2 linked regions of the Ovis aries genome follow. The protein of the gene in region 1 purifies or fractionates together with the protein of each later gene. This does not show direct contact. Links are inferred from orthologs where the notes say so. Each region holds a gene or a part of one and is shown in the gene's direction. Other genes may lie near its edges.

Region 1 (7,217 bases):
CAGATGTTGGCAATTTGATCTCTGTTTCCTCTGCCTTTTCTAAAACCAGCTTGAACATCTGGAAGTTCACGGTTCATGTATTGCTGAAGCCTGGCTTGGAGAATTTTGAGCATTACTTTACTAGCATGTGAGATGAGTGGAATTGTGTGGTAGTTTGAGCATTCTTTGGTATTGCCTTTCTTTGGGATTGGAATGAAAACTGACCTTTTCCAGTCCTGTGGCCACTGCTGAGTTTTCCAAATTTGCTGGCATATTTAGTGCAGCACTTTCACAGCATCATCTTTCAGGATTTGAAACAGCTCAACTGGAATTCCATCACCTCCACTAGCTTTGTTCGTAGTGATACTTCCTAAGGCCCACTTGACTTCACATTCCAGGATGTCTGGCTCTAGGTGAGTGATCACACCATTGTGATTATCTGGGTCATGAAGATCTTTTTTGTATAGTTCTGTGTATTCTTGCCACCTCTTCTTAATATCTTCTGCTTCTGTTAGGTCCATACCATTTCTGTCCTTTATCGAGCCCATCTTTGCTTGAAATGTTCCCTTGGTATCTCTAATTTTCTTGCAGAGATCTCTAGTCTTTCCCATTCTGTTGTTTTCCTCTATTTCTTTGCATTGATTGCTGAAGAGGTTTTCTTATCTCTTCTTGCTATTCTTTGGAACTCTGCATTCAGATGCTTATATCTTTCCTTTTCTCCTTTGCTTTTTGCTTCTCTTCTTTTCACAGCTATTTGCAAGGCCTCCCCAGACAGCCATTTTGCTTTTTTGCATTTCTTTCCCATGGGGATGGTCTTGATCCCTGTCTCCTGTACAATGTTACGAGCCTCAGTCCATAGTTCATCAGTCACTCTGTCTATTAGATCTAATCCCATGAATCTATTTCTTACTTCCACTGTATAATCATAAGGGATTTGATTTAGGTCATACCTGAATGGTCTAGCAGTTTTCCCTACTTTCTTCAATTTGAGTCTGAATTTGGCAATAAGGAGTTCATGACCTGAGCCACAGTCAGATCCCAGTCTTGCTTTTGCTGACTGTATAGAGCTTCTCCATCTTTGGCTGCAGAGAATATAATCAGTCTGATTTCGGTGTTGACCATCTGGTGATGTCCATGTATAGAGTCTTCTCTTGTGTTGTTGGAAGAGGGTCTTTGCTATGACCAGTGCGTTCTGTTGGCAAAACTCTATTAGTCTTTGCCCTGCTTCATTCTGCATTCCAAGGCCAAATTTGCCTGTTACTCCAGGTGTTTCTTGACTTCCTATTTTTGCATTCCAGTCCCCTATAATGAAAAGGACATCTTTTTTGGGTGTTAGTTCTAAGAGGTCTTGTAGGTTTTCATAGAACCGTTCAACTTCAGCTTCTTCAGCGTTACTGGTTGGGGCATACACTTGGATTACCGTGATATTTAATGGTTTGCCTTGGAAACGAACAGAGATCATTCTGTCATTTTTGAGATTGCATCCGAGTACTGCATTTCGGACTCTTTTGTTGACCATGATGGCTACTCCATTTCTTCTGAGGGATTCCTGCCCGCAGTAGTAGATATAATGGTCATCTGGGTTAAATTCACCCATTCCCGTCCATTTTAGTTCGCTGATTCCTAGAATGTCGACGTTCACCATTGCCATCTCGTTTGACCACTTCCAATTTGCCTCAATTCATGGACCTGACATTCCAGGTTCCTATGCAATATTGCTCTTTATAGCATCAGACCTTGCTTCTATCAGCAGTCACATCCACAACTGGGTATTGTTTTTGCTTTGGCTCCTTCCCTTCATTCTTTCTGGAGTAATTTCTCCACTGATCTCCAGTAGCATATTGGGCACCTACCTACCTGGGGAGTTCCTCTTTCAGTATCCTATCATTTTGCCTTTTCGTACTGTTCATGGGGTTCTCAAGGCAAGAATACTGAAGTGGTCTGCCATTCCCTTCTCCCCGGGGACCACATTCTGTCAGCCCTCTCCACCATGCCCGCCCGTTTTGGGTGGCCCCACACGGCATGGCTTAGTTTCACTGAGTTAGACAAGCTGTGGTTCTAGTGTGATGAGATTGGCTTATTGTCTGCGATTGTGGTTTCAGTCTGCCATCTGATGCCCTCTTGCAACACCTACCATCTTACTGGGGTTTCTCTTACCTTGGACGAGGGGTATCTCCTTACGGCCGCCCCCTCCTGACCTTGCATGTGGAGTAGCTCCTCTCGGCCCCTGCGCAGCCACCACTCCTTGGACATGGGGTTGCTCCTCGTAGAGAAGCCTTTCCTCCAGGCTCCATGGACATGGTCTTTTCAGGTTTCAGCAGAAGGTCTGTGCCATCAGCAGGGTGTCCCCGTGGATTCTGCATCTCCCCACACGGTGTGGCCTCCAGCGTCCAGATGTAGCTCACAGCTTTTGAGTAGCTGCTCTCTGCCAGGCCTCGCAGGATCTTGCTGCACATGTGGCGCTTGCTCTTGGCTAGAGATGCTCGGGGTGGGGGGTGTCTGTGGGGAGAGGGTCGAGCTCCTGCTCCCCCCCCCCCGCCTCTGCCCTGCCCGCTCGGGCTCCCGTGTGACCCTCTTGGGCCTCAGGCTGCAGCATGGCCCCGTAACCGCTCAGCTCCTCCTGCCTGTGTGCCAGGCAGCGCCCTGTTGCTCTTTTGAAGACAGCTTTTTTCCTGGCTGACACGTTTGGAGTCTCTCTTCAGCCGTCTCTCCACGTGCGGGGTTTCTCCACGTGCGGGCTCTGTCCAGCCCCGCGCCCTTGCGCCTCTGGCTCGTGGATGAGTCGCACGCTCGGTGCATCTTTTCTCCGTCTCCTTTCTGCAGCCTTCATCCTTGTCTTCACGTGTCCCCTTCTGCAGAACCTTTTACTTCACTGGTTCCCCCCCGCAGGAGATGCAGCGACTGGAGACTGAGCTGGGCCGACCCCCCGAGCGCTGGAAGGACGCCTGGGATCGGGTGAAGGCGGCCCAGCGCCTCGAGGGCCGGCCAGACGGACGTGTGAGCGGGGCGGGTGTGAGCGGGGCGGGTGTGAGCGGGGCGGGTGTGGGGGGCGGGTGGGCAGGCCTGCAGCCAGGAGGCGGGGAGGCCCCCCTGACCCGGGCCCCTTCCTGCCTGCAGGGCACCCCCGGCTCCCTGCTGGTGTCCAGCGTGCCCCACCACCGCCGCTCGCTGGGTGTGTACCTGCAGGAGGGCCCTGTGGGCTCCACGCTGAGCCTCAGCCTGGACAGTGACCAGAGCAGCGGCTCTTCCGTGTCCAGCTCGCGGCAGGCAGCCCGCCGCAGCACCAGCACCCTCTACAGCCAGTTCCAGACGGCGGAGAGTGAGAACAGGTCTGCGGCCGCCCCCGAACAGGCGCGGCGGGCTTCAGGGGGCGCCTTCGGGGGGCTCGCAGGGATTTCTCAGGACTTATTGGTGGGGGAGGCCCTGCCGGTGGCCTCCACGTGAGCTGACCAGGGCTGGGAAGAAGCAGGTGGGCTCAGCCTTTGGGACACGGAGCTGGTGACCTCAGCCAGAGAGGGAAGGGACGGCTGCGGTTGGCATGGGCCCCGCGGGCTGCACCCCCTTTCTGGGCCCAGGCGCCGCTGGCCGCAGTCACCGGAAACCTGCCCGGTTGTTGGGGCCTGCTGTCCGTGGGATGTTGTTGCCCTGAGGCCCTGGCAAGGCCCTCACGAGCCCGTCGGGGCCCAGGGCTCCGGGCTGAGGCTGGCTTGGGGGCGAGTGCCTGGGCTTTGCTGCTGGCCCTGGCAGGGGTGCAGAGGGCACCAGGGCCAGGCCCTGAAGTGGTCTGGCCGGTCCTGCTGCCGACACAGGTCCTACGAGGGCACCCTGTACAAGAAAGGTGCCTTCATGAAGCCCTGGAAGGCCCGCTGGTTTGTGCTGGACAAGACGAAGCACCAGGTGAGTGCTGGGCGCCCCGCTGGGGTGGGGCTTCGAGGGCCCCGCCCTGACTCCTGCCCCCCCACCGCAGCTGCGCTACTACGACCACCGTGCTGACACGGAGTGCAAGGGTGTCATCGACCTGGCCGAGGTGGAGGCTGTGGCACCAGGCACGCCCGCCATGGGCGCCCCCAAGACCGTGGATGAGAAGGCTTTCTTTGACGTGAGCTGCGGTGGGAGTGGGGTGGGGCAGCTGCCCCCGGGAGGGCCGAGGGTCAGCGTCCTGTGTCCGCAGGTGAAGACGACGCGTCGCGTTTACAACTTCTGTGCCCAGGACGTGCCGTCGGCCCAGCAGTGGGTGGACCAGATCCAGAGCTGCCTGTCGGACGCCTGAGCGTGGCCCTGCCCCGCAGCCCTGCGTCCAGTTACCGACCACTAGGGGTGGGCAGGGCCCCCCGGCCATGTTTACAGCCCCCACCCTTGACAGTATTGAGGCCCTCCCCCTGCGTGTACAGCCCCCCGCCCCGCCCCGCCCCGCCCCGCCCCGCCAGCTCCAGCTCCAGCTCCCTGGAGGCCTGGCTGAGTGCCCGCCGGGAGCAGCACGGTACAGCCCTCGCGGTGGGCCTGTAAATAGTCCCCCCCGCCCGTCTGTGTGCTGGCCCTGGCCGGCCGGCCCCAGGCGCCCTCTTCCTAGAACGAGAGTCTATAAAGAGCTAACGACACCGCGTGCCTGCGTCTGTTCCACCTGCTTTCCCCACCCCCCCACCCTGAGCCCGGGCCGCATCATGGGGGGCATTGTCAGGGCCTTGTTTGGGGTCTGCTCCCCACCAGGCCTCAGGCAACCCTGGGGCTGGTACAGAGCAGCGACCCCCCAGGAAGCTGCCCTGCATCCAGAGGGCTGGGGGGTGGCAAGGACGGTGCAGCTCCGTGGTCCCTGGCCAGATGAGAGTACCCGGGCCAGGGGGACGCCAGGAGGGTGGGTGTTCGAGAAGGCAGGGGTGCTCGGGCAGACGCAGGGTGGCGGGGCATGGTGCCCTGACGGCATCTGTGCTGGGAACTCTATCCAAATGCCTGTCTCTTACTCCCGTGAGTCCTGCCATCTGGCCCTGACCATCCCCACTGCCCTATTCTGGGCTGTAATGGGGGTCACCTGGACTGGGTCTCACTTGCAATGGGTGCCAACCAGTGGCAGGGCGGCAGCAGGTGGGAGGTGGGGTGTGGCACTGCAGAGGCCAGGGGCCCCCGAGAGGTCCTGGGTGGAGAGCACAGCACAGTGGGGCACCCACTGTGGGAGGGGGGCTCCCGGCCCGGAGACAGCCGTCGGGCTGAGGCCCTGCCCAGCGCTCAACTCCAGGCGGAGCTGCTCTTGGCACTGACTCAGACGGGCCTGGGGCAGTGGAGGGCCTGCCGCTGAACACCACGCGAGACACAAGGTCTGTAGGTGAGAGTGACAACCTTTATTGGAGGCGAGGGTCTGAGTGCCGTCAGATCGTCAGGTCATGTGAGCTGACCCTGCAGACCACCCCCCTGCCCCCCGGACAGCTCGGTGCCCCCCAGCACTGCTGGGGGCGCCCCGCCCCGCCCACGGCCCACACCGCCAGCGCGCACTGTGGGAGGCCCAGGACACCCCGCCAGGCTGCAGGAGCTTGGGTTTTAAGGCAGTCATTTGCAGCCTGGCACGGCCCGCTCCCAGCTCTGGGCAGCTAGGGACCCGGTCTGGCCCGCCCTGCTCCAGCCCCGCATCTGGACCCAGAGCCTTGGAGACCCTCTCCTGCGCCAGATAAAAAGTGCAAACACGTGGCTCTTCCTGCATCTGCTAAGAAAAAACTGGTAAAAAACAGGCAGGGAGTCTGTGGGGTCTGGCCTGGCCCTCGGGCCTCTGGGGTTGCAGCCCCGGGCTCCCACAGGCAGAGCCACGGCCAAGGCCTTATTGCTGTGTGCGGGGCTGGACCCCCGTGGCCACCCGGTCGGGGTCAGGCAGGAGAAATGCAGGCGGGGCTGTCTGGCTAGTTCCAAGTGCCAGCTTTACCAATGCAGCATTTATTTTAAAATTAAATTAAATTAAATTAAAAAGAGACTGCATCACCAGGTGCTTTTCTGGGCTGGGTGCCAAGACTGCGCAGCAGCGGCGTCACACGGGGCCACTGAGGGCGGCTCCGGAGGGTGGTGGCCCGCCAGCCTGTCTGCGGGGTGGGGGGGTCGCTCAGGGCTGGGCTCCCTGGCCCGGGGTCCCGCAGCCCCTCCCCTGGCCTGACCGGCTCACCTGTCTCTTGGCACTGTCCCCAAGGCGGCTGCCATGGACACGGCTGGGCTGGCGGGGGCTGCGGTGGTGACGGCCACCATAGGCCCGGGGGGGACAGCCACGGCCAGCACAGGGGAGACGGCCTGGGGCGCAGGGCCCGTCATGGTGGCCTCAGCGGAGGCAGTGGGCGCCTCGGCAGGGTCCAGGGGCACCGGGCCGGGCGGTGAGCTGGGGGCACAGTCAGCCCTGTGCAGCAGAAGGGTTCTGGTTACCCGGGCCCCTGTTTTGCCGCCCCAAGTTCCAAACACTCCAGAGACCCCCCCACCCCACCCCTGCACAGCCCGCCAGGCAGCCGCCTCCTGCCAGGAGCGCTCACCCGGAACGGCCCGCCCCTGCGCCCCCCGCAGGCCCCCACCTGCTCTGGAATGACCCTCAGATGCCCCCACAGCCCACACCCTTCTGTGGACCATGTGGCCCAGGGCCATTCCCTAGACAGCCACAGGCCACATCTGCCCAGAATGTGCCCACCCACCCCTGGAGACAGGGAGCGCAGGAGGGTGGCCTGGGGCCCAGGAGCACCCACAGCACCCAGCGGCCGCACCCGCTCCCAACTACAGGGCATCACCCACTGCCTCGCGAGGACTCCGGGGAGGCAGCAAGGGTGGGGGGGAGCCTACAGGCAAGCCTGGCTCGTTACCCACAATGGCCCAAAGTGCACCCCCCAAACCAAAGGACTTGCTCTCAGAACATCGCCGGGTGGGTTTCGGGGGAAACGGGGGTCAGGAAGGGAAGAAGCTGAGCTGCAGGTCTCCCTGAGCGGCTCGGTGAGAACCAGCCCCTCCTGACGGGTGCCTGCTCCCTCCTGGTTGTGCCCACGGGTGAGCCCAGCACTGGTGGGATCAACGTCCCCTGGGTCCCGGGAGCTAGTGTGTGCTGAGGCAGAGCTGGGCCCCCATGGACAGGCTGAGCCTAGAACCTAGAGGGAGGATCTGAGGGGGCGGGGGAGCCAGGAGCAGCCCCGTCCTCCCTGCCCGCCTGGCGCCCCTCACGCCGACTCAGCTCTGCTTCTCTCCCGGCCCAGAGCCCTGCCGCCCACGTCCCGTCTCAGCACACAGCTCCT
Region 2 (7,397 bases), on another chromosome or scaffold:
TTCAAGAATGTAGAGAGAGTGAGTATTTAAAAATGGGTTTTATTTTTTAAAATGCTGCAGAAGAAAGCGTATAATAAAGAAGATAGTAAAAAGTATCCTGAAATCCTACCACTCTGAGAGAAACTGAGAGTCAGTTTTAAAATGTGCCCATTTTAAGATGTGCAAGCAGATTTTATATGTTGAAAAGAAGTATTAAAGTAAAGTAACACTTTAAAGTAACACTTTCACGGGGGTGGGGGGTGGGGTTTAATTATACTCTTGACATCTACATCACTAAGTAGGTGATAAACCAGACCTTGGTGTCTTAGCCAGAACCAAGAGGAAAATCAAAGTAAGAAGCAAACATGTTTTTAGCCAGTGAAGACTTGAATTGGAAAACTCTGTTGACTGACACTGATTGGCATTCATGTTCATCTGTGAACCCAGGACCCACATTTCGTCCTCGATGTCCCCCTGGGAGTGATCAGCAGAGTTGAAAAGATTGGAGCACAAAGCCATGGAGACAACTCTTGTGGCATAGAGATCGTGTGCAAGGTACGGTGCAAACAGAGAGAAACTGAGATGGGGCAGCCAGCTGGAACATCCTTGGACTCTTGGATAGTAAGAATAATTTGGACGTTAGTCACTCAGATGTCTTCGGGACACAAACCTCTTCAACCTTTCATCAGCCAATTCAGACCATTATATAAGCTGTTGAAGTAAACTGCTTCTTTTCTGTTGAAGTGTTCCAATTAACATGGACCTGTAACCTAGGTGGTGACATGATTTGTTACATTTCAGAGAAATCAAGTGGAAAGCAGAGATCAGTATTTTTTTGGCAGTTTGTCATTATAATACTAGTTTTTAGTCAGAGACTTCCTAAAGGGACAGTGGGCATGTGCGTGCTCAGTTGCTCAGTCGTGTCCTACTCTTTGCAACCCCATGGACTGTATCCCGCCAGGTTCCTCTGTCCATGGGATTTTCCGAGGCAAGAATACTGGAATGGGTTGCCAATTCCTCCTCCAGGGGATCTTCCTGACCCAGGGACCAAACCCACATCTCCTGTGTCTCCTTCATTGGAAGGTGGATTCTTTACTACTGAGCTACCCAGGAATCCCTAAAGGGACAACAATATTCATAAATTCTGTGATTAAAAACACAGTTGAGTTTCTTGTTGGAATTTGCACCTGAGCCATGCTTAATTTTGATTTTGTCCCTTTCCTCCAATGGATTAAGTAAAATTTGTGTGACAGCTTTGATGAGGACTAATGAAAGATGAACATGAATTTGAGCCAACTCTGAGCAATGGAGGACAGAGAAGCCTGGCAAGCTGCAGTCCATGGGGTTGCAAAGAGTAGGACACAACTGAGCAACTGAACAACAACAAAGTCATTTAAGAAACACCTTACTTCAATTCCAATGACTTTGCCTTGTGGAATACAGTTCACTAACAACCTCACCTAAAATACCAGGCAAGAGATCCTGTCTGCAGCACCATCCAGGTCCCTTCCCAGTTTGGGGTTTGGATTAGATTCCTGCCAGTCTATCTGCCTCCATCATATCTCTGAGTGAGGCTCTTGCTGGTTGGCCCTAGACTGCAGTTGAACTCACGTTTTCAAATAAGCCTTTACTGTGCCGGGTCGGAAATCTGCTGGCTTCCTAGCATCTCTCGAGCAACATGTGGCTGTCCTCCCCTCGGGTCCATGGTGGCAGTCCTGATTCTCCAGGATTCTCCACAGGCAGAGCAGTGGGAATCCTCTGCAGAACTTAAAGCCAAGGGTGGGGTGGGTGAGTCAATTCTGTAATTGTGGAACAGGTCATTTACCTACTCAGAACTCTTCAGTAGCTGCCCTTGGGCTAGAGGGAAAACACGGAGACCCCATGGTGTGAGCGGGCTTGCTTTCCTTGGCGGCTCCCACTCCAGCCCACCTCCCCTTGTTCTTGCCATCCCATTCCTATAGTTGCTCCCACCTGCCTTGGACCCCGCCAACCCTTGCCACACTCAGACTCCTGGGGCTTCACACATGCTCTGTCTTTGCTGGCAATGCCTTTGCCTCTGAGCTGCTGCTGCTGCTAAGTCGCTTCAGTCATGTCTGACTCTGTGTGATCCCATAGACAGCAGCCCACCAGGCTCCCCCGTCCCTGGGATTCTCCAGGCAAGAACACTGGAGTGGGTTGCCATTTCCTTCTCCAATGCATGAAAGTGAAAAGTGAAAGTGAAGTCGCTCAGTCATGTCCAACTCTTCGCGACCCCATGGACTGCAGCCTACCAGGCTCCTCTGTCCATGGGATTTTCCAGGCAAGAGTACTGGAGTGGGGTGCCATTGCCTTCTCTTTCTGAACTGAGCAATCCTATATAGCAAGTCAGCTCAGTCAGCAACTGAGGAGCATGTGTGTAGCCAGAGTAGCTTGGCGGGAGGGCATAGCAGGAAGTTACATCACTTAGGCAGGTGTCCTGTGGTTGCTTTCCTATGATATTTGTGTGTGTGTGTGTGTGGCCAAGGTGAGTCTTTGTGAAAAGCAGTTTTAAAATGTTCTTCAGTGTAGAATTACCAGGACCATGCTTAAACAGGTGATATACAATTCAAAAAGTACAAAAACTGTGTGTAGCAAAAAGTAAGTTTCTCTCCAGCCACTCTGATCCACTCTGTGCAGGCACCCACTGGCACCAGTTTCCATAGATGGCCTCTGCATACAAGCCTGTGTCTGAAAATGTGAATGGTCGTGTGTTACATTCATTGTTCTGTACCTTTCTTACCACCCTCAACTATTATCTTGGAATTCCTTGCTAGCAGTACCTAATGAGCCACTTCTTGTTTTCATTAGCTCTGTAGTATGCCATCAGTAGTACTGTAGTTCATTGAGCCAGCCCTTATTTATTGATAGGCATTTAGGTTATTTCCATTCTTTCACTGTTATAAATAATACCACAGCAATACCTTCCTCACTTCCCCAATTGCTTTTGCTTTAATTTGTTTGTGGTCATATTTATTTTTGAATTCCATGTAAGATTAAAGAATGAGATTCCTGTTTTAACAAAGAGCGTAGGCTTAGAAAGGTCAGGGTGTAGTGCTCAAGCCAGTCCTGGGAAGACATTGCACCCTTTGAACCACCTTGTCAGCCTTGCTCCTGACAACTTCCACTTGGGCTTCAGGCTGACAGCTTGTGCAGCAGGGGGCTTTCAGATACTTATCTTGAGAAGCAACATTGTAATTTCTGTAAGGAAGTCACTGAGAGCCACTGTCTCTACATGACATAGAATCCTTGCTCCGAGTTCAGAGGAGAAACCTCTGTTGGATTTCTATTTGATGGATGGTGTGAATTCCATAATTGATTCTTTGAGCAGCTTAAGCCAGAACTGATTTTATGGCACACCTTTAGCACAGAAGGGCACACCATTTGATGTACCACTTTTATGTACTAACCTTACTCCTGGTTCCATCTGATGAATTTTCCCCCCTAACACCTCCCCTTTGTTCCATTTTCCTCAATTTATTATCTTGTTGGAGGTGTTTTGTGAATTGCCTTTTGTTAGTTGGAGTAAAATGGAGTCCAGTCACCACTTGGTGTCCACCAGAGACTAGTTACAGGACACCCCCTCGCCAGCAAATACCAACATCTGGAGACATGAATGCCCAAATGTAAAATGGCATCATATTTGTATACAGTCTCTGCACATCCTCCTGTGTACTTTAGATCATCTCTACATCATTTTAAATACCTAGTGCTATGTCAGTGCTATGTAAATAGTTGCTTGACAAGTTGTGTGTTTTGGAACTTTTTTCCCCAATGTTTTTGATCCATGCTTGGGTGAATTTGTGGGTATGGAGCATGCAGATATGGAGGGCCAATTACATTTTGTGAGAAATGAATAAAAATATTTTGTCTCTTCATACCATGAGGTCTACCTCATAGGTACTCAATACATGTTTAATCAATGAGGTTTGCTAATTGTTTAACAGGATATGAGGAACTTGCGACTTGCTTATAAACAGGAAGAACAGAGTAAACTAGGGATATTTGAAAACCTCAACAAACATGCATTTCCTCTTTCCAATGGGCAGGTAAGTACATGGAAATAACCTTCTTTTTGTGCGGGTCTGAATGCCTTCGTGGCAGTCTAAAAATGTCATGGTTAGTTATTCTTTCTTCCAGAGGTTTCCTTTATCTCTTTTCCCTCTGTTGGTAACTAACATTGAGTACTTAAACTGTGTCAGTTCTGTGTAATGATGAAGAAAACTTCAAATTTGTTGTTTTACAAAATGTTATAGATTAAAGTAGGACTCAATACATTCAGCTCATAACTGAATGAAAAGCTTTAGTAGTGTGCATGTGACAGTGCAAAGATGCTGACATGTCTATTTTGTGCTTTTGTATCCAGACACTCTTTGCCTTCAACTATAAAGAAAAATTTCCAGTGAATGGATGGAAAGTTTATGATCCAGTATCTGAATATAAAAGACAGGTAAAGTGTGATGCTTATCAACTGGAAAATAATAGGTTGAGCATCTTTTTCCTAAAATGGTAGAAATGTAGTGGAGAAGAAACCTTTTGCAAAAAGTTGTCCATGGGTGTAACTCACCTAGTCTGCTGGTTCTTCAGCTCTGGATGCCCCTTCTCCTTGCACCGTACCTTCAGCTGTGCCGCTGTTTGTTCTTCCTTTTTTCAGAGGGCAAATGAAGTACCAGGACGAGGGGAAGGGTTACAAAGAAACCAACCAGATGGTTTTTATTAGGTATTCTGATACTAAGTTGATTAGTAAGGATAAAGCAATGGCTTAAATTAGATTATGAGTATAAGACATGGCTATGTCAGTCTGATGGCGTTTCTCTACCTAGAAGTTCTTTAGTGCATTGTTAGTTTGAAGATATTCCAATGAGACGTTATTTTCATGACATTTACTCTTGGTCCACACCTTATATTTGGTACGGTGACTTTATATTCCTTTAGACATTTTAAAGAAGTTTCTGTTTCTCTAAAGGACTTCCGTGGGTATTTTTAAAGAACAACACTATGCTCACTTGTTATAAAAAACATGATAAGAAATACATAGGACTGGAATTCAAGTATATAATTTGCATGTTTTAGTATGTTTGGAAATTATGCTTCATTAGATTTTTTTAAAAAATGAATTAGGTAGGCAATGGCTTATATAAAATAAATTATATTTAATCTTTTAAGCAGTAATGAACAATGAATTACAAATGGGTTTTACTAGAAAATAATTGGATGTGGTTCATGCTTAGTACTTTTTGAAAGTATAAAAGTATGGTCCCCACACACACCACCAACTTTCCTCTGACACCTTGCAGGGCTTGCCAAATGAAAGTTGGAAAATATCCAAAGTAAACAGTAATTATGAGCTCTGTGACACCTACCCTGCCATCATTGTTGTGCCAACTAGTGTAAAAGATGATGATCTTTCAAAAGTAGCAGCATTTCGAGCAAAAGGTAGAATCCCGGTAAGTAATAATAATGTTATTTAGATATGAACATATACTGTATTTGGTCTAATATGGGGAAAAGCAAGTTAGAAGAAATCTCATGAAGAAAATGGAAAGTAGAAAAATAAGTCTATAAACCTGAACATATCTTTGATTCTCAATAACTATCTAATTATATAAGCATTTTGTCTGCTTGCTATGATCCCACCTGCCATGAGTTCATGTTACTAAGTACCAGGGTAACTTCAGTCATGCTTTCAAAACATGGTATAGATAGCAGAGGGCTAAGCTTGCTAGTGTGCTGACAGTTTGTGTCACTGGTGTCACTGAATCATCCTGGAGAAAATACATTCTTTCTTAGATACTGAGGGGAAGGCTATACCTGTACTGGGAGGGCCACCATTGCAGAAAGAAATAGTAGCCAACAGGGGATGAAGTATTTTAAACGATTTGTTGGTATACAAAAAACCCTGCACATGTTTAGTGGATCCAGTTTGGTGAGTTTGGATATATGTGTACACTGGGGATACATATTAGAGAGGGAACCACAGTTAGGGAGGGAGTGCATGTCTTGAGCCCTGCATGTGCCATCTGGTTGACCCCAAGTGTCTTGGACACTGGGGGAAAATGGTAGGTTTGGGGATATAGCTTTAGATTTTACAAGAGACTGTTTACTTTGTCCTCATCTGGCCATGTACGCCATTGTTGACATCCAAGTGTTAATTGCCCAATCGTGTCTGACTCTTTGTGACCCCATGGACTATACCCCACCAGGCTCCTCTGTCCATTGGATTCTCCAGGCAAGAATACTGGAGTGGGTTGCCATGCCCTTCTCCAGGGGATCTTCCCAACTCAGGGATCAAAGCCAGGTCTCTTGCATTGCAGGCGGATTGTTTACCATCTGAGTCACAGTTGAGATTCAAAGGTGTTTTTAAATGAGAAGACAAAATCAGTTGATCAAATAGAAATGGGCTTGGTGTTAGTCATGGTTTGATTTAGTTTCTGTTTTTCTTAGAATCCTAGAATTTTAAAGGCAAAGGAGATTTTTTAGAGCTCACTTAGTCAGACTCCTTTCAGCCTGATCCAAACATTGAGTCTTATGGCTACTTTCACACTGTCTTCAGGCTGAACCGTCCCTTTTGACAAAAATACAAAAAAAAAAAGCAGGTGTGCTTAAGAACTTGGTGGCTCAGTGCTGAAGAATCTGCCTGCCAATGCAGGAGACCCAGGAGACCTGGGTTTGATCCCTAGGTTGGGAAGATCCCCTAGAGAAGAAAATGGCAACTCACTCTAATATTCTTGCCTGGAGAACTGCATGGACAGAGGAGCCTGGAGGGCTAAGTTCATGGGGTTGCAAAGAGTCAGACATGACTGAGAAACTGAGCATACACACAGGTACATTAGAGCACATATTGGTTTAGGACCGTACTAATACTTGTTGCTTTCAAACACTAGGTGTTGTCATGGATTCATCCAGAAAGCCAGGCAACAATTACCCGTTGCAGCCAGCCGCTTGTGGGTCCCAATGATAAGCGCTGCAAGGAAGATGAGAAGTACTTGCAAACAATAATGGATGCTAATGCACAGGCTCACAAACTCATCATCTTTGATGCCCGGCAAAACAGCGTCGCCGACACAAACAAGGTACTGCAGAAGCTCTTCCTGTCAACTGTTTGTAAAGCATCATGCCATTCAGATAGCCCCATGAAGGTGGACTCCTGTGGAGCAGTCCACAGCGGGCCTCCTAGATCTCCAGCCCTCATGAGCCTGGTCTTCTCATTGCCCCTCCACAATCCTGTCTGCTGACCCAGAAAGTGAAGACCAAGAAAGAGAATGATCACCCAGAGAATCTAGTAAGCATTTTAGTGAAAGGATTGTGAGGCCCATGGAAGTCCCTTTAGCCTTTGACTACTTGACCAATTCATATCTGGCCTGAAGCTCTGTACCAACGGAGTCAGCTGTATGAAACAAGGC

The links.
Region 2: the proteins of SBF1 (region 1) and MTMR1 purify together in Homo sapiens (affinity purification with mass spectrometry; 4 studies listed by BioGRID and IntAct, with this or other methods). This does not show direct contact. The link is inferred for Ovis aries from reciprocal best matches to the Homo sapiens genes SBF1 and MTMR1.

The regions. Positions count from the first base shown.
Region 1 is NC_056056.1:225,675,591-225,682,807, reverse strand, and holds the end of SBF1 (myotubularin-related protein 5), read left to right. Parts: intron 1-2,868; coding exon 2,869-2,976; intron 2,977-3,096; coding exon 3,097-3,308; intron 3,309-3,788; coding exon 3,789-3,876; intron 3,877-3,946; coding exon 3,947-4,078; intron 4,079-4,150; coding exon 4,151-4,249; 3' UTR 4,250-4,582; downstream 4,583-7,217. Other genes in the region: PPP6R2 (serine/threonine-protein phosphatase 6 regulatory subunit 2), read right to left, coding at 5,987-6,038, 6,119-6,343. UniProt on the Homo sapiens protein: Acts as an adapter for the phosphatase MTMR2 to regulate MTMR2 catalytic activity and subcellular location. Promotes the exchange of GDP to GTP, converting inactive GDP-bound Rab proteins into their active GTP-bound form.
Region 2 is NC_056080.1:84,824,114-84,831,510, reverse strand, and holds part of MTMR1 (myotubularin-related protein 1), read left to right. Parts: coding exon 1-18; intron 19-426; coding exon 427-534; intron 535-3,941; coding exon 3,942-4,043; intron 4,044-4,360; coding exon 4,361-4,444; intron 4,445-5,291; coding exon 5,292-5,441; intron 5,442-6,878; coding exon 6,879-7,067; intron 7,068-7,397. UniProt on the Homo sapiens protein: Lipid phosphatase that specifically dephosphorylates the D-3 position of phosphatidylinositol 3-phosphate, generating phosphatidylinositol. Could also dephosphorylate phosphatidylinositol 3,5-bisphosphate to produce phosphatidylinositol 5-phosphate.